3 linked regions of the Lonchura striata genome follow. The protein of the gene in region 2 interacts with the protein of the main gene of each other region in a pairwise test. Links are inferred from orthologs where the notes say so. Each region holds a gene or a part of one and is shown on either strand. Other genes may lie near its edges.

Region 1 (7,094 bases), on a different chromosome or scaffold from region 2:
CCATGCCAACACTCCAGCCCATGGAGGCTCTTCTGCTCATCCCAACCTTCCTGTGCCCCCTTCCACCATTCTCAGGTTGTTCCTGAGCTCCATCCCAGCATTCTTGTGCCCGATTCCAAATTTCCTATGGCTCAGGGATGTTCCTGCGCCCCATCCTGACATTCCCAGGGCCTAGGGATATTCCAGTGCCCCATCCCAATATTCCTAGGCCCTATCCCAACATTCACATGCCCCATTCCACCATTCCTAGGAATGGGGCCATTCCAGGGACCCTCCTGATGCCCTTTCCCCCCATTTTCTCTCTCCCCAGTGGGGGCTCCCCTGGCCCCTCCCCCCCTGGAGATGATGGGGGCCCCCCCAGGACCCCCCAGAGGAGAGGTAAGACTAGGAGGAAGGGACTGGGAAAGCTTGGGGTGGGTTTTGGGGATTTGGGAAGTCTTGGGAGCACTTGTGGGGCTCAGAGGGTGTTAATGGGGTGTTTGGGGAATTTTGGAGGAGCTCAGGGCTTTCCAGGGGGCTCAGGGGGAGGTTGGTATCAGGGGATCTGGGAGGGTTGAGGAGTTTTGTGGGGGAGTTTAAAGGGGTTCAGGGGGTTCCAGGGATGTTGAGGCCTTGCTGGGGGGTTCAGGGGGTTTTGGGGCTGTAACCCCCCGACCCTTTCCCTGCAGAGGAGCTGAAGCCGGAGGGGGGTCGGGAGAGCAGCTCCAAGGGCCGGAGCTGCAGCCGCGGCCCCACGGGAATGGGGGACCCTGAGAGGTGAGACCCTCCCAGAGCCCCCTCCGGAGCCGGGAAACCCCCCCGGGCACCGGGAATTTCCCCGGGCATTGACCTCTGACCTCTGTTCCTCAGGAGGGACCCCCGGAAGGAGCACGAGCCAAAGAAACTGGAGGAGACCCCCCCCTCCGTAAGGATCTGGGGCACCCAGAACAGGGGAGGGACCCCCCTCAAATCCCGGGTTTGGGGGGTTTTGGGGAATTTTCACCATAACTGATGCCCTATGCCTCCAGTTAACAGGGAGGGCTGTAACTCCTGTTCGGGGTGAGTGAACCCCCAGGGGACTTCAACCCCTCAAATCTCATTTTTTGGGGTATTTTGGGAATTTTCTGCTTCACTGCCCCTCTCCCTCTGCCCACCTTCACAGTTCAGCCTTGAACAGTCTGAAACTCCCTGGGGGAGGGCTGTGAACCCCTCTTTTTGGCGTGCATGACCCCCTGGGGGTTTTCATCCCCTTCAAATCTTGTTTTTTTGGGAGCTTTGGGAGTTGTTTTTTTTCAACAGTGACACCCCCCTGGCCCTCCCAGCTCAAACACCCTGGCAATTTTGGGATTTCTCTGACCCTTTCTGAGGGGCTGTGACCCCCTGGTTTTGGGATGTGTGAGCTCCTGAGGATATTTATCCCCCTCAATTCCCATTTTTGGGAATTTTTCCTGGTTTTCCCCGCAGTTCAGCCATGCCAGCAAATACGCCGCGCTCTCTATGGATGGGGAGGATGAAGGTGATGATGAAGAAGGAGCTGAGTAGAAACTTCCTCCCCCTCTTCCTCCTCCTCAGCTGCTGCAGGAACCTCTGGAGATTCCCAAAAATCCCAACCTTGATCCAGGCGAGACAGAAATAAAGCCTAAAACTCATCAATTCCCTCAGCTACAGCTTCTTAAATCCTGAAAACAACCCCACACAGAACGCACGGGAATCACCCCAAAATCAGCACAGGGAGCGGGAGGGGTAATTCCAAGAGTTTTCTTGAAAGAAAAGCAGCTCCTCCCTCCTTGTTTTCCATGGAATAAGGGGTGAGGAAGAGCTGGCCTTCATCCTCACTGGAGCCCCTCCAAAACAGGGATAGGGAGGCAACCAATCCCCCCCAAATCCTCCGGGGTCTGGGATCCCCCTCTGCCCCCCTTTTTCCTCACCTCTGGAATGTTGATTTCCCCCTGGGCACCTTCATCATCCTCCTGCTCACAGGTGCCCCTCCAATTCCCCCACCCAATTTTTGGGATGCAAATCCCACCCTTTACACAGGAAAACCTGAATTTCCACCCCAGAACCTCAAGATACTCCGAGATTTTGGGATTTGGGGTGGGCTGTAAAATTGTGTAAAAAGAACCTTCCCAGAGGTTTTGGGAGGTCCTGGGGGAGTTTTGGGGTCCCCAGGGGGGCGTTTTGGGGTTCTCCCCCAGGTTGGGGGCTGTTTTGTTTTCTCCAATAAAATGAGCTGAAAAAGATCCAGAAAGGCCCCAGATCTTTCTGCCCTTCTCCTCTTCACCTTGAAGGGGAACAGGGCAGTTCCCAAAGCCCTCCAGGGGGAATTTCCTGTCCCGACATTGGCCTTCCTCTCTCTGGGCTTCCTTTTTCTTTCTTGCATCCCTTCTTCATTCCATCTTTTCTCCTTCCTCATCCTTCATTCCTTTCTTACTGCCTTTCCTCCTTCTTCATGTTCCTCCTTCCTTCCATCCTCTTGCTCTTTCTCCTCTTCCTCTTCCACTTCCTCACTTCTTCACTTCCTCCTCCTCTATCATTGCATCTCCTGCTTCCCCTTCTCCTTCCTTTTTCCACCTCATTTTCTTCCTCTCCTTTTTTCTTCTTCTCTGTCCTTCCTCTCATTGTTCCTTCTCCTTCCTCCTTCCATCTTCTTCCTCCTCATCCCTATTTCTTCATCCTCTTCCTCCTCCTTTTTAATTTTTCCTTCACCTTCATTCTGATTCTTCTCTGCATCCTTCCATTCTTACTCTTCCTCCACCCTCCGCTGATTAACGGTAATTAATTTGGGGTAATTAATTGGGGATGCAGGCACATCACCGAGCCCCGGGATCCCACCCCCTACCCCCCGCCCTTCCTCTTTCCCGGCTCTTCCCAACCGCTGGAATGCTGGAACCCGCCTCCCCCACCGCTGGAATGCGGCCCCCCCCGGGGCGGCTCCGGCCCCACAAAGGGGGGTCTGTCCTGGCCAGGGTGAGGGGGGAGGACCCCAAGGGCCGGGAGAAGGGGACCCTGACAACCCCAACCGGGAGGGGACCTATCAGGCCCCTCAATCCCCTCTACACACCTCAAGTCCCTCAAACCCAAATCCTCTCCCTGCACCCCAAAAACCTCTTCCCCAATTCCCCTGCTGAACCCAAATTCTCTCCCTGCACCGCAACCCCCCCTGCACAATAACCCACACCCCAAACCAGCCCTGCACCCCAAAACCCTCCTTGCACCCTGATTCCTCCCCTGCAACCCAAAACTTCAATAACCCCCACCCCAACGCCCCCCAAAACCCCCTCTACCCCAATTCTTCCCCTTGAAACGAGCTTCCCCCCCAGGAGTCTCACAAGGGAGGAGTTTGGGGTCCCTGCACTCCCTGGGGACCCCATCCCGGGATTGTGTGGGGTCCCTCGAGCCCCTCCAAACCAACATCCCCGCCCCGAGTTTGGGGGTACCATGGGCTGAGGATCCCCTTTCCCAATGAATCTGCAGGTCTCGTGGCGGGGGGGTCTCAGCTTCCCCCTTCTCCTTGATTTTGGGGGACCCCATGGGGTGGGTCCAACCCCCCCTTTTTCCCCGAGTTTGGGGGTCCTGGGGGGCCGCGGCGCGGGTTAGCGAGGGGGCGGTGGGAGGAGGAGGATGAAGAGGGGGCGGGGGCAGCTCCAGGAAACCGTCGGGGGACTCGGGAGGAATTTTGGGGGATCCTGGAAATGAGACGGGGAAACTGAGGCATGGTCGGCAGGGGGCGGTGTCATTCCGTGTGTCCCCCGTGTGTCCCTCTCCTTGTCTCCCCTGTGATCCTCCCGGTGTCCCGTGCCGTGTCCCCTCCGTGTCCGCCCCGTGTGTCTTCTCCGTGTCCCCCGTGTCGCCTCCTTGTCTCCCGTATGTCCCTCCTGGTGTCCCCTCCCCGTGGCCAGACGTGTCGCTCCCGTGTCGTCCCGCCCGTGTCCCCCCCGTGTCCGTGTCCCCCCCCGGCACGGGAAGCGGCTCCGGGCTCGCGGAAACGGCCCCTCCCCGCGCGCCTTCGGCCACGGAGCCGCTCGCGGCACCCACGGGCAGCCCCGAGACGCCCCCCGGGAGCGCCTGGGACCCCCCGAGGTCCCCGCGGAGCCCCCCCATGAAGCCCCCCGGGGCCGTGGGAACGCTTCTGCGCGCGCTTGGCCGCCGCGATGGCCCCGACACGGTAGGACCGGGGCAAGGTCCCGGTGAGGGTGGGTGAAACGGAGGTTTTGGGGGAGTCTGTTTATTCCGCGTACCGCTTCATGGGGGTCCCGCGTAGGGTGGGGACCCCCCGTGGGGAAGCGAGGGCTGGGTGCGGGGGCAAAAGCGGGGGAACCCCCCCGTGGCGCCCCCGCGGGGTTCCCCCGCTGTCCGCTCCAGCCGCCCCCTACCCACGCGTGACGCTGGGTGACCGGGGGGGGGAAGTCGAGTCTGACCCTCCTCCCCCCCCTCGCCGCCCCTCCCCATGTTTTCTCATGCTCACCCCTCGCCTCCACTTTCCCCTTTTCCCCCATTTTCCCACTTTTCCCCGTTTTTCCCGCGTCCCCCACCGTGCCCCCTCCCCCCGCACAGACTCCCACGCCCCTCCCCCTCCGTGGGAACGGCGGGGTCGTCCCAGGGGTCGCCACTTCCCGGGCTTGTCCCTGCCCGCTTCCTGCGGGACTCGATGTCCGTGGCCGGAGGCCAGAGGGGCCGGGGGGGACACGGGGGGGACACGCGGGACGACACGAGGTGGGGGACACGGGGAGGCACAAGTGGGAGTGGGGCTGACACGGGAGCGACGAGGAGTTACGGGAGGGACAAGCGGGGAGAGACGAGGGGACACGGGGGACGTGGGGGAGTTACTTGGGGGACACGGGGGTGGCACGGGGAGTGACATGTAGGACACAGCGGTGCCATGGGAGAGCACGGAGGTGACGCAGGGACGACATGGGGGGGACAGGAGTGGGATCCGAGAGGGGATACAGGGGACACAGGGGAGGACGGGGAGGGGGACACAGGGGAATACTGCGGGTGACAAGAGGGGGACATGATAGGGACACATGCGGGGACACGCGTGGCGTCATGGAGGGACACGGGTGACACGGAGGAGACGCGGTCAGTGAGAAGTCATGGAGGGAACATGGAGGGACACAAGGAGGGACACGGGTGACACCGACTGACACCTGAGGACGCATGAGGGGACCAGAGGAGGACTGCTGTATACAGGGGGGTGACATGAGGGGACACGGAGGTGACGCGATGAGAACTGGGTGGGACTGGGGCCGGTACACAGGGGGGTCACTGAGGGGACCCGGGGAGGCCAGGGGGGGGTTCACAAAAGAAACACAGAGGGTGACACGAGGGGACATGGAGGGGAAACGAGAGGTGACATCGGGGAGGACATGGAGGGGACAGGCGGTGACCGCCCCGTGTCTCCCCAGCCGAGGCCGTCCCCAGCCGCCCCCCACGCGTTCCGCGAGCGGAGCCTGCGCCGGGGGGCGCCCTGTGGGGGCTGCGGGACCCCCCTGGGACCCCACGGGCTCGTGTGCAGAGGTGACACCCCCGGGACAGTCCCGGGACATAGGGAGGGGCTGGATGGGGTGGGGAGGGGGTACTGGGGACAGTGGGGTTGGGACTGGGAGGTTACTGGGGCCAGTGGAGGTACTGGGGGCGCTGGGAGGGCACTGGGAAGTCACTGGGAGCATTGGGGGGTTACTTGGGCGGTTACCGGGGTCACTGAATTGGTCACTGGAGGCAGTGAGCGGTTACTGGGAATACTGGGAGGTTGTTGGGGGCAGCGGGAGGGTATGGGGGTGTATTTGGGGCCCTGGGGGGACGCTGGGGAAACCCTGAGGGGACCCTGGGGGTTTCTGATGTCGCCGTTGTCCCTCCCAGTTTGCAAAGTCGCCGCGCACAAGAGATGTGAGAGCAAGGTACGACGTGGGGCGGGGACGTCACCCAAGGGCGGGGGGGGCCCATTTGGGGCTGGGGTCCATTTGGGATGATCCCCGTGTCCTCCTCCAGGTGACGTCACCGTGCCAACCTCTGCCCCCACCGGAGCTGGTGAGTGGGGGGGGGGGCGCGACCTCCCCAGAGCCGCCGGGCAGGACCCGAGACCCCTCAAATCCCCCTCGAGACCCCCAAACCCCTCGGGCATGACCCGAACTCCCGAGGCACCCCCGGGCAGGACCCTCTGAGCTCCCCTCGGGACCCCCAAACTCCCCGGGCAGGATCAGGGACCCCACGGAAGGGCTGAAACCATCCCAAGCCCGCCCCGAGCAGGAGACGGGACCCCCCCCTCGGGACCCCTAAACACCCATGTCAGGATCCGGTACCCCCGATATTCTCCCTGGACCCTGAACCCCGCAAATCCCCCTCGGGACTCCAAACCCCGCCGGGCAGGCCCCATCCCCGGTGGTCGGGCCCCCCCTCAGACCCCGCCGTGTCCTTCCAGAGGCGGAACACGGCTCCGGTGCGGCGCAGCGAGCGCGTGGTGAGACCCCCGAAACCCCCAAAACCCCCTCGACTCACTGACACCCCACCCCTCCCCGTGATCCCTAACCTCCCCCGGGAATCCCCAACCCCCCTCCCAGGACCCCCCTAAACCTCCCCCCCGGGACTCCCAAAACCCCCCTGATCCTCCCCAGGATTTGGAGACCCCCCGATTCCCCCTCCCGACATCCTCATGACTCTGCGGTGTTTTGGGGACCCCTCTGACACCCCCCCTTGCCCCCCCCCACCCGTCCCTGACCCCTTATGAACCCCCCAGACCCCCTCCCGACCCCCCTCATGTTTTGGGCACTTCCCTGCCCCTCCCCTTGACCCCACGCGGGTGTTCCGGGGACCTCCCAACTGCCCCCGCCCCTCCCTTGACTCCCTCGACCTCTCCCAGTTTTGGGGACCCCCCCTGACCCCGCCTGCCTTGGCCCCTTCTCCGCCCCCGTGTTTGGGGACAGCCCTTAGCTCCCCCATGTTTTGGGTGCCCCACGACCCCCTTTTGCCCCCCCTCGTTTTTGGGGCTCCTCCGGGACCCTCCAGGGCTCCTCGCTCGACAGCGCCCCCCAGCGGAGCACCCTGCCCAGGTACGGGAGTTTGGGGGTGCTGAGGGGGGAATTTGGAGGTTTTGGGGTGCTGGGGGAGCCCGGGGAGGG
Region 2 (7,559 bases):
TAAACCAAAACTTTTTTTTTTTTAGCTTTTTTTTTGTTTGTTTCATTTTATTTTTTTTTTTCCAAAAGTTTTGGGTTTTTTTGGTCTGCAGGTTGCGGATCAGGCGGGCAGCCTTTCCTCCCTCCCCCTTTGCCTCCCTTCTGGACACCTCCCATGGCTGCTTCCATGCCCCCCTCACCCTCAGCCCCAGGACGGCACAGCCAAGCTTGTGCAGAGTCCTTGAGGATGGACGGAGGGCATGAGACCGGGAAAAAATCGTTTTTTTTAGGGAAGAAAATCGAAATTAAAAAAGATTTTTTTTTTTTTTTTTTACGTTCTGTTCCATGTTAGACTCTAGATAAATGCCAACCCAACAGCATCAACTAAAAATAATCGTGGTCACTGGAACGGACCGAGTATTTACATCACTCCCGCCGCTCCCCGCGGCAAGAGGCTGCACAGGACTGGCGAGCCGGGGCTTCCACACCCGCAGGGGCTGAGGGTCCCCGCACAAAGCTGGGGGGGCACTGGCAGGGCAGGAGCCAGCCTGCGCCTCTGCCCGGGGGGCAGCAGGGGACACGCTTGGCTTTTTAATTTTCTTTTCTTTTTTTTTTTTTTTTTAACTCCTCTTCTGTTGCGTTTAAAAAAATAATAATTATAATAAACCTGGTGGAGTGGTGCAGGAAGCAAATAAATATCAGTCAGTAGAGATGGGGGCGGCAGGACCTCCCCAGGACATCGCCACTGCTAACGAAGAGGGAGGAGGAGGAGGAGGAAGAGCCCAGAGTCCTGCCCGGGAGGCGGTGGGGAGTCCCCGCGTGGGGGACCAGCGGCAGCTTCGGGGGGATGGTGGCCGGTCCCTCACAAGACCTGGAAGCGCCAGGACGCCTGGTCCTTGTAGTCAAGGCAGTCGGGGGAGTTGAAGTTGAGCTTCCAGGAGGCGGCGGCGGCGGCGGGCTCCTTGTAGTCCAGGCAGTCGGAGGAGTTGAAGGGCAGCCCCGTGCCGCCGTAGCCTTGGTGGTGGTGGTGGTGGTGGTGATGGTGGTGGTGGCCCGAGCTCTGGCTCAGCGGGTGGTGGTGGTGGTGGCCCGGCACCGAGGAGGGCCCCATGGGGCTGAGCTGGTGGGGATGGTGGTGGGAGTGCATGGGCGCCAGGTAGGAGCTGCAATCCACGCCCCCGAAGTAGGACGAGGAGGGCGGCGCGGGGTAGCCCTGGCCGTAGCCGCCGCCCTGGCTGTAGGACACGGGGTAGGAGGCGGAGGCGGCCGAGGCGGCGGGGCCGGCCCGCTGCATGCAGGAGGCGGCGGCCGGCGGCAGCGGCTCGGGCACCGTCACCCCCGCGGGCGCCGCGCCCGGGGAGATGGAAGCGGGGCTCCAGATGGATGACGCCGGCGTGCTGAGAGAGGCCGGGGCGCCCACCGGCGCCGAGGAGGCCGAGCTGGAGGAGGAAGACGAGGCGGAGCTGGAGGCCGCTGCCGGCGGCGTGAACTGCCCGCTGCTCTCCGAGCCCGAGCTCTCCCGGGCGGGCGAGGATTTCTTCTTGGCCGGGCGGCTCTTGGCCCCGCCGCCGCTCTGCTGCTGCTGCCGGCACTTGGCGCGGCGGTTCTTGAACCAGACCTGCAGGGACAAAACGGGGCGCAGGGGAGCAAGGAGCACGGTGGGGTGAGCGAACAGCCCCGAAGGGCCTCCTCGGCCAACCACCCTCAGCCTGGCACCAGTTCTCCCGGTACCACTAACGCTGCGCACCCCTCACACCCCTAAATACAATCCCACATCCCACCCCTGCCCGGCAACCCGGGCACCCCACAGCCTGCCAAAAGCAAGGGTGGCCAGGGTCAAAGTCTGTGGTGTCCCAGCTCGTGCATATCCCTGGCACAGTGACAAAATATGGATTTGGGGGACAGATCCTGTGTTGGGGGCTGCCTGCATATCCTGCCCTCCTGGGTATCCACTGAGCAGTGCCCAAAGGGAATTCCTCTGGGAAGCACCCAGCTGGTAGGGCTGCTATACCCTGGAGCAGGTGGACGGTGACAGAAAATATATTAATAAAAATAATACAAGAGAATAAAAAATAAACGCTCCCTCTTTGGCTGAATGTGCCCACAGTGGGACAGACGAGCAGATGGGAGCCCACACACATCCCCATCCCAAGGAAAGAGGATGAGTGTGGATGGAGCAGCCGGTCTGAGCAGCGCCAGCTGAGCTGGGGTGGTCCTGCATCCCCATCCCACAGCGGTGCAGGATTCCCCCCGCAGGCCCGGTACCTGGACTCGGGATTCGGGCAGGTTGATCTTCAGGGCGACCTCCTCCCGCATGAAGATGTCCGGGTAGCGGGTCTTGGCAAAGAGCGCCTCCAGCACGTCCAGCTGCGAGCGGGTGAAGGTGGTGCGCTCCCGCCGCTGCTTCCGCGGGGTGGCTGCGGGAGGAGCACCACCACGGGGGTCACGCCGGGCCCCCCCGCACCTCCCGCACGCCCCGGCACGGGGGAGCCCCGGCGTCCCCGGGACAAGGGCTGGAGGCGCTCCCGAAGAGCGGCAGCGTCCCCGCACACCCCCGGCTGCCGCAGCGCGTCCCGCTGCCGGCAGGGCGAGGGGCGCAGGGCTGGGCAAGGGTCAGGCCTGGCTCCAGAGGGAGCCACGGCGAGATTTCGTTGTGTCGAAATTAATTACTTTTTTGTGTTGTTATTGTTCAATCTGAAAGTTTTTTATCCTTAAAAATCCCTGGGAAAACGAAGACATCCCGGGAGCAGGGGGAAAATCCAGCTAGACCCCAATGTCCCCAGGCAGGGGTGCAGGCAAACAACCAGCCCACCACCCACCCTGAGCCGTGCGGCCCCACCAGCTCCTCCAAACCCGCACGGATGGAAGTTTTCCCCCTCCGCTGGCTGGAGGGTGGGGGACTGGGGGGCCGCGGTGCGCGGCACTCACCCGGATACCCCACGGAGGGATGCAGCAGGTCCATGGCCGGGCCCGTCAGCCCCAGCCCGTTCATGCCGTAAGGGGGCTGTTTGAGGTAAGACATCATGCTAGAAGCCGGGCAGTTTTCCTCCAAAGTCCAGCAGGAAAAAAAAAATCAAAAATCAAATCGAATGTATGCGGTGGGGAAGGGGGAAATGAAAGAAAAAAAAAAAAAAAAACTGACAAAAAGAGCCCCCGAAAAAATCCCCAAATAAGAGACCAAAAAAAAAAAAAAATTAAAGCCAACGACAATTTTAAAACGGAGCACAAAGTCGGCGTGAAAAGAGTTTTTTTCGTTCAGTCCTGCCGTCACCGCCACGAGGTCCTCGAGAGATAGCAGGTGAAGTGAGAGAAAAATAAAAACGAAGGGGAAAAATAAAATCAAAATAACAACGAGGATCGAGAAGCAGGCGGATTTCTTCCCCGCGCAGAGGCGAGGCCGGAGCGCCTGGGGAGAGAGCGGAGAGAAGCGGGTGAGGCTTCGGCCGCCCGGGGCTCCCGCGGGGCTGCGCCCGCCCGGCGCGGGGGCTCCGCGCGGGCGGCTTCCGATTGTTAATTTTATTATTATTTTATTTTAAACGAAGGCGAGTCGCGCGCAAGTGCCGAGAGGCAACAGTGCCCGGCGATCGGGACAGATAAAGCAATTATTTAAAAAGATAATTGGATTAGGAATCAAAAGGAGGTATCAGAGGAGGGAAGTATAATTAATTTAAAAGCGAGCAGACGGGGACGTTTTAATTAGAAATGGATAAGAGTTAAAAAGGGGAAAAGGAAAAAAGAGCGCGCCGGCAGCCGAGCGGCGACAGCGCGGGCAGCCGGGACGGGCCGGCGGGGGACGCGGCACCGGAGACCCGGCAGCGCCCGGCCCGGGGCAAAATGCCGCGGATACCCGCGCAGGGGAGGAAGGAGCCGAGAGACCCCGGGCGGCCCCGTCGAGCCCCGGGGGCAGCCCCCGCTCTCTGACACGACTCCCCCCAGCCGGGGCGATGGGGCACCCGGGCCGCGGGGCGGGGGATGCCGGGCGGGGGTCGCGGGGCCCCCCGTAGGCCGGCGCCGGGCGCAGGTCGGGTGGCGGAGCCGGGACCCGGCGTTGCATAACTTTGTCGGGGACGCGGCGGAGCGGGCCCGTCCCGGCAGGAGAGAACGGGGAAGAGGAGGAGAATAAAAGTGAAGAGAAGAGAGGGAAGGAAAAAAAAAAAAATCCCGAGGCAGCCCCGGCCCGGCCGCCCTCACCACCCCTGCCCACGGCGCCGCGGGCCCGCTACGCTCCGTCCCGGCGCCGCCGCCCGCCCCGTCGGTGAGCGCGGTGCCCACCGCCCCCGCCCGCCTCACCTGCGCGGCCACCTGCGGAGCGACTGAGCGCCCGCCCGGCGGCCGCGGCGGGGGCTGCGCGGGGCAGCGCGGGGCGGAGCGGGCGGGGGGCGCGGAGGGGGCGCGGCGGGGGAGGGAGCGAGGGGGGCAGGCAGGTGAGAGGCGGGCTGGGGAGGGGGCCGGGGGGGCGCTGCCCGGGGCCGAGCCGCGCACCCCCGACTTGTCGGGGTACCCCGCGTTACCTTGCCGGCGGCCCGCGCTGTCGGGGCGATGGAGCCGCGGCCCTGATGAGGATTGATCACCTACCCCCGGCCCTACCCTTGTATGTGCGCGCAAAGCAACTGCGTAACCAGCCCGGCGCCAATCCCCGGCCGCTCCCCGCCTGACTGACAGCCGCCCGGGCAATGGCAGCGCGGGGCGACGGCTCCTCCGCACCGCCCCGCGCCGCTCCGCGCTCCCCCGCGCACCGGCCCCGGCGCCGCGGAGAGCCGGCCGGCGGAGCGAGGGGTGCAGGGGGCGGGCACGCGGGGCCCGCGCAACCTCCGCGGAGAGGGAGGGTGGTGGGAATTGTTGGAGAAGTGCGGAAGAGGGAGGGCCGCTCCGCGCCCGCGCAGCTCTGCCCCCTCCCTCCCTCGGGATGCCCCCCGCGCCGCTCCGCGCCGTCCTCCGCGTCCCTGCCGCCCGGGGAGACCGCAGAAAAACTTTCGGCCGCCGCCTCCGCCGGCACGGAGGGCGCTCCTGGGGAGGGGAGGCGGTGTCGCGGCCCCCCCACCCCGCTGCCCGCAGGCTCTCGCAAACTTTGTGCTTTAAAATCGCAATAAAACTACACCGACCGCACCTTTCCTCGCGTGTCCCGAATTTAGGGGCTGCTACGCGCCGTGGGGGCCGAGCGGGCGGGGGCCGCGCGGGAGCGGCGGGCAGAGGGGCGAGGTGACCCCGGGCCCTCCGCGCCGCTCCGCGGGGCTCCGCTCCTCGCTCCGGGCGGCGGGGTCGGGGCGCGGCGGGCGGCGGAGCGGCCCCGGACCTCTACAGAGGCTCCGGTGCGCGGCTTTTGTTGGTCTCCCCAAATCAACTCCCCCTAATTGCAGTGGAGCTGAAAGCGAGCTAATGTTCAAAGGCGCTGCCCGCCGGCCCCGATCGGAGCGCGGTCTCCCGGGGAAAAGACTTTCCCCCCATTTTATTTTGTTGTTGTTGGAGTTTTTTCCCCTTCTTTTCAATTCTTTTTCCTGTGCGAGGAGGGAACCGTCTAAGCCGGGCGAGAGGGAGCCGATGGAGGAGGTTAGCAAGCTCCTTCGCTCTCCCGCAAAAGTCAGCGACACGGGCACTTCTCCCCGTAACAAAGGCGCCGCGGCCCATTCACAAAAAAACGCAAAGGCAGGAGGAGGGCGCAGGAAGAGTTTGCGGGGGCAGTTCTCCCCCCTTCCAGCCCCTCTCCCCCGTTTTGCCCCGGTCCTGCCGGGGCAGTTCCTGGCTCGGGCTGCGCTCCCCCCGCCCCCCGCCGCCTTCCCATCACTTGGCCCCGCCGGGGCAGCCCCGGTCCTGGCGGGCAGCGGCCCCCCCGAGGCTTCCCCCCACACACACCAGGGGGTACCCATGCCCCCCCAAGCCTCCCGCAGCTCCCGCGGTTGCCCAACCCCAATTGCGGACGCCTCCCCGCAGGCTCGGCCGGGGGCTGCGGGCAGGGCGGGCGCGGGGCTCGCCACCCCCCCGAGGTGACGGTCCCGGCGACTCCGATCCCCCGTTCCCTCCGCCGGACGGAGCCGGCGCCCTCCCCGCTGCGCCCAGGTAAGGTCGGCGGCGGGGCGGGAGCTGCGGGCGGGCAGGGGCCGGGCTGCGCGACCCCGGCCCGGCGAAGGGCAGAGTTCGGTCCGGCGGCGGGGCGGGGGCTTCCTGCGGCCCGCTTGCCGGGCTGGGGGCGAAGGACGGGGGACACACGCACTTATTTTGCCTTCAGCCCACCGAGTGACTTTTTTCGCTTTAAAAGCGAGGCAAACACCGGCCTCCCCAGGAGGAGAGGATGCCCGCCCGCGGCCCCCCTCGCCCCAGGAGCAGCCCCACGCTTCGGGGCTCAGCGGCTCCCGGCGGGGCAGCAGCGCCGGGGGCTTTGCCGCCTCTCCCCTCCCGAGCCTCCGCAGCCGCGGAGCCCTCAGAGCGCGTTCCCTGCCGTCCCCAGCTCCTGTATTTGTACGGGAGGGCAGAAGAGCACGGCGGAGCCCGCTGCCCCAGCCCACCCCGGCGCCGGTGCGTTCCGCACATCTCCCCAGACTTCGCATGGGGCCAAATCCACCTGCGGGCCCCGGGGCAGCCCCCAGTTCCCCAGGCCGTGCATCCCGCGGCACCGGCGGCCGCTCGCACGAAACCGGGAGCTTCCCTCCTCCACGGGGGACTTCTTTTGGCGAGAGCGGCGGGGCGCAGCGCGGAGCGGGCCGCGGTCGCGCCCGGAGCCGCCGGCGCTGCTGCGGTGCCTCGCCCGCTCCCCGCGGGTGCGCTCCTTGCGCGCATCCCCCACGCCGCTGGCGGGCGGCATCGGCCCAGCGGAGAAAAGTTTTACCTCCCCCTCCCCGAGTTTCATTTTATTAAAATCCAACGAAAAACTTTTCCGTCCGGTGGGTTTCGTTGCGTTGGCGAAGCGGCGGCGTTCGGGGCGGCCCGGGGCGCGGAGCCCCGCTGCTCCCCCCGCGGGGATCGGGCCCCTCCCGCCCCCCGAGCCCCCTCCCCGGCCGACTGAAGGCGGGCGGGGTGAAGGGAGTTTCCCAGGTAAAGAGGAAAGCGGCAGTTACGGTAAGAAAGATTCGGGTTTTATTGAAAATTTTATATATGACTCGGTGTTGTAATAAATAAACGAGACGAGCTCCACGAAGGGACGATGCGAGCGCGGGACACGCTTGGGGGCACACGGACGGGGCGGGGTGCGGTGGGGAACGCGGCCGGGCGCAATAAATAACGCGGAGCGGGCGGCGCGGGCCGGCCCGGCCCGGTCCGAGGGAGGACGCGGCTGGCAAGTGTCGCGCTGTCCTGGGCCGGGCCGGTCTCTGCCCCGGGCTGCCCCACTCCGCTCGCAGCCGCTCCCAGGGTCTTGTGCCAGCGCTTGGGGGAGAAGCCCCCCGAGTAAACCAGAGCAGCTCGGCTCTACTCTCGGGGAAATGTAAAACTGATGTAATAAACCACTGGTAAATACAGCACATTTTTAATAATAACTGGGGTGGATCTGACCTAACTATAAAATGTAGGTAGCTTATTAAGTATTACATATGGCAGGACTAGATGAAACCATTCCCAATGATTTTTTTTTTCCTATATCCCCCTCTCTAA
Region 3 (7,970 bases), on a different chromosome or scaffold from region 2:
ATTTTACCATTAGCAGAAACATGTACATTATCAGATACACTTTATCCAGATTTGTCATGAGCAATGACATTTAAGCAGGACAGAGGAGCCAACCCAGAGGTGAGGGAGTCTGTGTCAAGGGAAGGGACTGATGACAAGGTCTCAGAGCAGACCAGGTCATTAAGAAAAGCACAGCCTGATGTGAGTGCCCTTGGAGATTTGCTACAGTTCTGTAGCTTTGTTAAACTCCCTCTGCAGTGTATGTTATTTCTATCTTGTCTCCTCTGGCTTCTGCTTGCCCCCTTTCCTTGCTATCACCACCCACTCTTGTTTTCCTTCTGGCTACCTCTCTTAATTAATCAGGGAAAGAGAAGCTGTTCCTGCCAGCTTTGCTTTGCTATTGAGTAGTGGTAGGAGTTCAAAGAACAAGGTTACGCCTGCACCTGCTGCTTGTTCTTTGATGCCCTGTTGCGTGAAACAATTTCCTTCAGAAGTTCCAACAATGTACTAATTAACAAGGAAAAGACAGGGAGAAACAAGACAAAGACTGTGGGAGGAATGAGGTGAGTAACAACTGAAAGATCTCAGAGGAAAGCAGGGGAAAGAAGCAATTACAAAGGGGGAGCTGGGAAAGAAACATAGAAAAAAGGAGAGGGAGAAACAATAAAGGGAAGGAAAGTAAAAAAAAAAAAAAAAAAAAAAAAAGGAGAAACCAGAAGACAGGGAACTGGAATAAAGAGTTGCAAAAAAAGAAATTATTTAAAGTCTCCTTTAGATTACAATATGCAATTCTTACAGAGAACTCTGAGAACAGTGAGTACCTCTGTTAGAGAGATCTGTACATAGTATCAGTTCTCCCCTATTGCAGTAAGGAAATTCACTGGGGAGGGAGGGCATTCCTACCTGGAACAGCAGCACAATGCTCCCCAGTCTGGACTCTAAGGCTAATATCTTTATTTAGATATAATGAGAGTTAAGTTGCTTAAAAATGCAATTAGTATCAGCCTGGCATTACTCTCACTGTTCCCAAAGAAAGGATAATGAACTGTAAGTGGGAGTCCCACAGTGTTGGGTCAGAGTAGACACCAAAATAATCACAAGCAAACTCTGTGATGTAAAAACATGGACTTGGAAGTACATGGCTGGTGGCAGGGCTGGCACATAGCAGGGACACATCAGCAGTGGAGAAGAAGTGACAGCTCACTGATACTTCTTGAAACAAAGGACAGGTCTGCCTTCTTCAGTGCAGGTGGTAGAACAAGCTGCACAAAATGATGAGTCTCCTTGCAGCCTCTGAGGGTGGTCCAGTACTGCTGAGTCCAGTGCTGAAGGCTTCAAGCACACCAGGTGCTGTGAACACATGCTGAAGCATCATGGGCACCTCAGCCTAGAAACTTAGAACTTCTACATTATACCTACCACAGCTCCTTATCTTTTAAAGGCTGCCACATACTGAACACCTGAAAACTGTGGACTGTGGAACCAGCATTTGTTAGGCAAGTAATATACACCTAAATTGAGATTGAGAGGCATGAGACTTTCTTTCTCTTTATCAAATCCACCAAGTGAGTTAACCAAGCTTGTCATGCCACACAGCACAGGGATCTGGTAACTCAAACATTTGTTTGAGTTAAGCATACTAGTATGAAAAGTGCATTAAACATGAGTTAAGCATACTAGTATGAAAGTGCATTATTACTCAGCTGAATTCTGTGTTATTCTGTAGAATTCTGTTATTTAGGAAATGAAACCTGTTGCAAGTAGCTCATGATAGAAATACTGTCACACTTCTAGTGTGACAGCACAAAATGCTGCTTTCTCCTTTGCAGCAAAGCCAGTGTTATGAATTCTCTCACAACCACACTGTTTCTACCCTGGTTTACCCAGTCAGCATTGCCACATCTTTATATACACTCTACACCTGAGAAATACACCATGAGGATCTTTATGAGTAATGGAGAGTAAATGGCAATGTAATCTTTCAGAAAATAAACTAATCAGTATAACGAATTCAGGGGAGTGCGACAAAGATGACTAGAGGGATCAAGCACCTCTCCATTGAAAATAGGTTGGTTTTATTCTTTTGGGAGAGCTGGGGTTTTTCAGCCTGGACAAGCACTGGGGAGACCTCACAGCAGCCCTCCAGTACCTAAAGGGAGCCTACAAAAGGCTGGAGGGGAAGTTTTTACAGGGGCCTGTAATGATAGGAGAAGGGGAAATGGCCTTAAATTGAAGCACAATAGGTTTAGATTTAGATGTTAGTAAGAAATTCTTTCCTTTGAGGATGTTGAAGTGTTCAAGGGCACTTTGGATGGGTCTCTGAGTGATCTGGTCTAGTGGAAGTTTCCCTGCCCATGGCAGGAGGATTGGATGATATTTAAGTTCCCTTTCAACTCAAACATTCTATGATTCTATGATATACCGAAACAAGCCAGGAAAAAAGAGCTGCAGGTTTCAAAGGAAAAGTTATAATGTGAAAAGGAGGCTATTGTAAATAAGATATGTAAAGTACTAGGAAAATAAAGAGGAATGCAGAATTCCCTTCACACTTACGAAAGTGGACAATGGGAGTGCTACAGATGTAATTTATTTGGACTTCCGTAAAGCCTGTAAAAGCCCACAGCATCCTTTTTTCTTAATTGGAGAGAGATGGAATTAAGGGGTCGGCTGTGAGATGGATAAGAAAGTGGTTGGATGGTTGCATCCAGAAGGTGGAGGTCAACAGCTCCCGATGGACATCGGGGGTAAGTGATATCCCTCAGGAGTCTGTACTGGGACCAGCACTGCTTGATATATTCATCAATGGCATAGACAAAGGGATCTAGTACACTTCCAGTGAATTTGCAGATGACATTAAGCTGAGAAGAATGGTCAACACACCTGGAGGATGGGATTCCATCCAGAAGGACTTGGACAAGCATGAGAAATAGGTACATAGGAATCTCCTGATGTTTAACAAGCCCAAGTACAAGATGCTGCACCTGGGTTGGGGCAACCACCCCTGCCAACCCAGGCTGGGGATGAACAGATCCAGAACAGCCCTGCTGGGAGAGACTTGGGGGTGCTGGTGGGCGAGAGGCTGGACATGACCCTGCCATGGGAACTCACAGCCCAGAAACCCAAACGTGTCCTGGGCTGCACCCAGAGCCCCGTGGGCAGCAGGGGAGGGAGGGGATTCTGTCCCTCTGCTCTCATGAGACCCCACCTGGAACACTGAATCCAGCTCTGGGGTCCGCAATACAGGAAGGACACGGACCTGCTGGAGCGAGTCCAGAGAAGGGCCACCAAGTTGATTAGAGGGGTGGAGAAATGCTGAGAGAATTGGGGTTGTTCAGCCTGGAGAAGAGAAGGTTTTCAGGTGACCTGAATGTGGCCTTGCATACCTGAAGAAGGCCTACAAGAAAGATGAAGAGGGACTTTCTACAAGGACATGTATTAGACATAGCAAAAAATTATTTACTGTGAGGGAAAGATGCAGTTTTTATATTTTCTGTAAAATGCATTCTATGATTCCTATGATTCCCAGATTTACCTTTTTTTTTTTTTTTTTACTGTTTCAGGCTGAACCCTCTGACATTATATATTAGCTACTGCTGCAAGTAGGCAATCCAACAATCTACTCTGTCAAATAAAAAAGATCTTCTCCCCCTTTTTAAAATGTCATCCTACTAGTGCTATATCCTGTGTCACATTGCCTTCCACTGTTGTCACAAGAGCTGATGGCCTACCTGTTGCTAAGGCCATTATGCTCACAATGGCATTTCCCAGTCTTTGTTCTAAGTTTTGGTTACGAAAAATACCAAAACTGCCAAGAGAGAAGAATTCCTGCAATTTTTAGGGTTTTCTGCTTAGCATTCATCAACGTAGTCCTAAATGGGCTGCTACTCTGCAAATTCATTGTTAGTCTCCTCTGCAAACAGTGGCCTAAGCATGATGCTTTCCACGGAGGATTCAAGGCTGCCAGAGGAATGGCAGATCCAGGAACTGACAGTACCAAGGGACATGCACACACCTGGTCTCAGCCTTCAGCAGGTCAGTCTTGGCCAGGGGCCACTTTCCCCACATCTCCATGTACTAAACCAGAGGGACCAATGGGCAACCCCTCAGCTCACAGCAGATGTCCAAATACACCCCCCAACCCCCTGTGCCGTGGGCTTCATGGATGCTCAGAAAAGGGATAAAACCTTGTGATCAAGAAGGCCAATGGTATTCCAGGCTGCATTGGGAAGGGCAGGTGATCCTGCCCCTCTGCTCAGCCCTGGTGAGGCTGCATCAGGAGTGCTGCGTCCAGTTCTGGGCTCCTCAGGGCAGGAGAGACTTGGAGCTCTGGGAGCAGGTCCAGTGGAGGGCAACAAAGATGAGTAAGGGATTGGAGCATCTCTCTTGTGAGGAAAGGCTGAGGGAGCTGGGCCTGTTCAGCATTGAGATGTCTGAGAGGGAACCTAATCAGTATCTATGAGAATCTGCAGAGAGGATGTCAGAGGATGGAGTCAGCTTCTTCTCAGGGGTGCCAAGCAATAGGAAAAGGGACAACGGCCAGAATCTCATGCACAGGAAGTTCCAGCGCGGTGTGGAAGGAGGAAGAACTTCTTTACTGTGCAGGTGACCACCCTCCAGAACAGATTGTCCAGAGAGGCTGAGGAGTCTCCCTCACCGGAGATACTCAGGAACCGTCTGGACACAATCCTTTGCCCCGTGCCCTAGGCAGACCCCCTTCAGCAGGGCTTGGACCCGATGACCGCCGCGGTCGCTGCAGCCGTTCCGCGCCCCTGGGAGGGCCCGCTCCCCGCACCGCCGCCCCACGCGCCGGCCGGCCGGGAGCGGGGCGGGCCCGCGGCCGGATGTTGTTGTTGTTGTTCCTGCCCCGCCCCTCGCCCCCTCCCCCCGCGGAGGGTGACGGGCGCGTCCCCGCCCGGAGCCGCCGCCGCTTCAGCCGCTGCCGCCGCCGCGGCCCCGCTGCCGCCCGGCCCGGCCCGGCCCCGGGCCGCCCCCCTCCCGTCCGCCTCCCTGGCCGGCTCCCGTCGCGTCGCCCCGGCTCCTCTGGCTCATCGGACGCCCCGGCCCGGCCATGGCGGACTTCGATGAAATCTACGAGGAGGAGGAGGACGAGGAACGGGCTCTGGAGGAGCAGCTCCTGAAGTACTCCCCCGACCCGGTGGTGGTGCGCGGCTCGGGCCATGTCACCGTGTAAGGGCCGCGCGGGGCCTGCGCGGCCGGGGCGGGCGGCGGGGCAGGCCCGGGCGGCGGGCCGGGGGCGGCCGGGAGCGCCGAGCTCCTGGGCACAGCTTGGGCAATTCGGGGGGTGGGCGTGGGGAGCACCGGGCCGGGGCTGCTGCCCTGCCCCCACGCCCGTGAAGCTGCGAGGGGGCTCTTGTCGGCCCCACCGAGCCGCCAGGAAACTCGCAGGCAGGTGCGAACCTCTAAGTAGGCGCTGAGGAAACGAGACTGGCTTGGGCTGTGACTGGCAGAGGAATGTGAAGTATTTGCCCAAAATGATGAGCTGTCAGGAAGTAAGGTGCCTGTGTTCTCTGTATAACAGCTATGTGCCAGCACATGACTGGCTGGACTGTTGAACAAGGTTGTTTATGTGCCTCTTACCGACTCCCACTTAACTTGTGGCTGCTGATATACCTCTGAGGACTTTAACAAAGAGAAGGCATCAGTTAGTCAGATACCTACGTGTAAAGTTATGTGGTGGTTGGTGTGTGTTGTTTCACTGTGTTTGACATGGAAGCAACTTCGTTTTGTGCGTGTTTGGTATCTGAGTCTAGCGGGAAGTGACCACGAGCTTGTGTAGTACTTCTCAATAATGTAAGAGATGAGGATATTGTTCCTTCCATCAGTTCTGTCAGTCTCACTCCGTTGAAGTGTAGTAGTTGTCAGTTACAATGTATAGTGTCAGAAGCTGAAATACAAACCTGGAGACAAGGCACAGTAGTACAAACTTTCGGTTTATTTTGTATTCAGAGTTCAGCAGTACTAGGTTTGCAGTACAGATATAAAAGACATACTGTGGTCTGCTTCTCTGAGTCTCATAAACTATATTGATTTTCAGATACTGACTGACAAGTTTTTTTGGCACTTGGGTGCATTGTTGCTTTATTATTAGGTTGACACAAATGCTAATAGCTGATAGCAGTTAGCTGTCTAGTTAAAAACAGGAAGTTATGGATAGACTGAGAGAGATTTGAAAAGTTAGAAGACAAATGTGGCTGGAGGCCAAGGAGACCCTGTGAAAGAGTAGAAGCATGTAGTCAGTGTGTTGAGCTTATGATTGTTTATTGTGAACAAAAGCTGTTCCAGTGATTCACTGAAAATAAGGCAGCAGCCTTAGTCTGTTTCTGAAAAACTGAGCAAAACCACAATCAAATAGTTTTCACATTAGCAAATGAAAAGTACAAACTGAAATGGAGGCTAACACTGGTTTCTTCTCTAAGACTTGAAGGTAAGTTGTGCAAGACAAGATGAAGACCCGTTAGTGGAATGTTGGAGAAGCTTTCGAAGCATTGACTGTGACTAGTAAGGGCCTTGTGGTTGAAGGATGGCTAACTTGATAATTGTTCATTAATAGTTACTAGCTCATTATTACTTTAAGATCTTCCTTAAAGTACTTTTTGTTCTTTAGGTTTTGAATGAGCAATGAAATACCAAAGTGTGCCTCCAAAATTAGGCAATTGATCTTCATCTACTTTATTTACTGTGCCAGGTGTTAACAGTAAACTACTAGCATTTATCAATAGCATTGTCCACTTTTACCTTTGTACAGCCTATAACTTTTTTGTTATTGATCCAGAAGCTTATTATTAAAAGTTAGATCTCTTTTATAGCATTCATTTGGTAGATATAAGGAATAGGTGAAGTCCTGTGTACGTGATGAATTTGTCTTGCCAGTATAAAAGCACACATGCATTCTGAAGGACTGACAAAAATGATCAGCAGTTAAGCAAATACTGGGTTGATCTCTCCCTGGCTCTGCAGTTTGAAGAGTTGCTGACTGCTTCTGCTGTGTGTGTATTTAAACAGAAGCTCTCTTTTCATAGTCTGTTGTCATATCCTTTCTGATCTTACATAGGAGTCATAATGTTGTGTTTGAAAAATGTCAATTCCATGACTACGTATTAACATCAGAAAGACATTTACCATTACTTGATTTCACCCAACAGAGAATGGAAGTGAGTATTTTCTAAGCTGAGTAATTAAAATCAATTAAAGAAAAGCAGTTAAATATTAACCAAATAAAACATAAGTCTTTGCCTCTTGAGGATGTGGAGCTTTTGGTTAGCACTAAGTTTTCTCCTTAAACTCACTGTTTGAAGCAGGCTGCCAGCAATGCTAATATTTTTTTTAACATTGTTTTTTAAATAATTGGGTAAACTGTTTTCACACCAGCAGAGTTTTGATAGCTTAGTAGAAAGGAGTAACATCACCTGGTTGCTGAAAATTTGAGGTTCTCTCTTGTTACGGCAAAAAATTTGAAAGCACTGTGAAAATAGAGATCCTTACTTACAACTGAATTAAAAGTCCAAGGTGTTTCATACTTGTTCCTGAAATCTGTATTATGGTAGGAATGGAGGTACATGATGTATTTGAAATAGTGAAGAGAATATTTATGATAGATGTCTGATAGTGAGTGTTTTCCTGTTCCTCAACTAGTTGAGACATGTATCATATATATAGCAGACTGTGTTAACTGGTAATACTGGATTTATTCCTGCAGTGCTGGAATGATGGAGAGCCATTGGGATGTGCTGATGAATGCCTTTCTGTGCTGTTGTTACAGCACCTTTTATCTTAATGCAAGATAACTTTTTGTAGGGGGAAAAAGAACTTAGAAAAGATGTATTTACCCAAGTAAGTTTCTTTATTGTTAAACTGAAGTCTGCTAATATATTTTTCAACCTTGCTCTGTATCAAGGACACATGAGTGAAAACAGGGCTATGTGAGAATCATGAAGCATGTTAAGATTTGTGAAATATATATTTATTCTTTA

The links. The genes of interacting proteins can lie anywhere in the genome.
Region 1: the proteins of OTX1 (region 2) and TNS2 interact in binary tests that used the Homo sapiens proteins (3 or more experiments, as listed by UniProt). The two-hybrid records come from large-scale screens. The link is inferred for Lonchura striata from reciprocal best matches to the Homo sapiens genes OTX1 and TNS2.
Region 3: the proteins of OTX1 (region 2) and CHIC2 interact in binary tests that used the Homo sapiens proteins (3 or more experiments, as listed by UniProt). The two-hybrid records come from large-scale screens. The link is inferred for Lonchura striata from reciprocal best matches to the Homo sapiens genes OTX1 and CHIC2.

Annotation. Positions count from the first base shown.
Region 1 is NC_134629.1:4,650,024-4,657,117, reverse strand, and holds the start of TNS2 (tensin-2), read left to right. Parts: upstream 1-4,078; coding exon 4,079-4,144; intron 4,145-5,384; coding exon 5,385-5,496; intron 5,497-5,838; coding exon 5,839-5,876; intron 5,877-5,967; coding exon 5,968-6,006; intron 6,007-6,397; coding exon 6,398-6,493; intron 6,494-6,981; coding exon 6,982-7,025; intron 7,026-7,094. Other genes in the region: EIF4B (eukaryotic translation initiation factor 4B), read left to right, coding at 311-378, 669-756, 850-904, 1,444-1,521. UniProt on the Homo sapiens protein: Tyrosine-protein phosphatase which regulates cell motility, proliferation and muscle-response to insulin. Phosphatase activity is mediated by binding to phosphatidylinositol-3,4,5-triphosphate (PtdIns(3,4,5)P3) via the SH2 domain.
Region 2 is NC_134605.1:867,683-875,241, reverse strand, and holds OTX1 (homeobox protein OTX1), read right to left. Parts: upstream 3,004-7,559; coding exon 2,907-3,003; intron 2,396-2,906; coding exon 2,244-2,395; intron 1,597-2,243; coding exon 841-1,596; 3' UTR 35-840; downstream 1-34. UniProt on the Homo sapiens protein: Probably plays a role in the development of the brain and the sense organs. Can bind to the BCD target sequence (BTS): 5'-TCTAATCCC-3'.
Region 3 is NC_134606.1:26,941,569-26,949,538, reverse strand, and holds the start of CHIC2 (cysteine-rich hydrophobic domain-containing protein 2), read left to right. Parts: upstream 1-4,954; 5' UTR 4,955-5,047; coding exon 5,048-5,166; intron 5,167-7,970.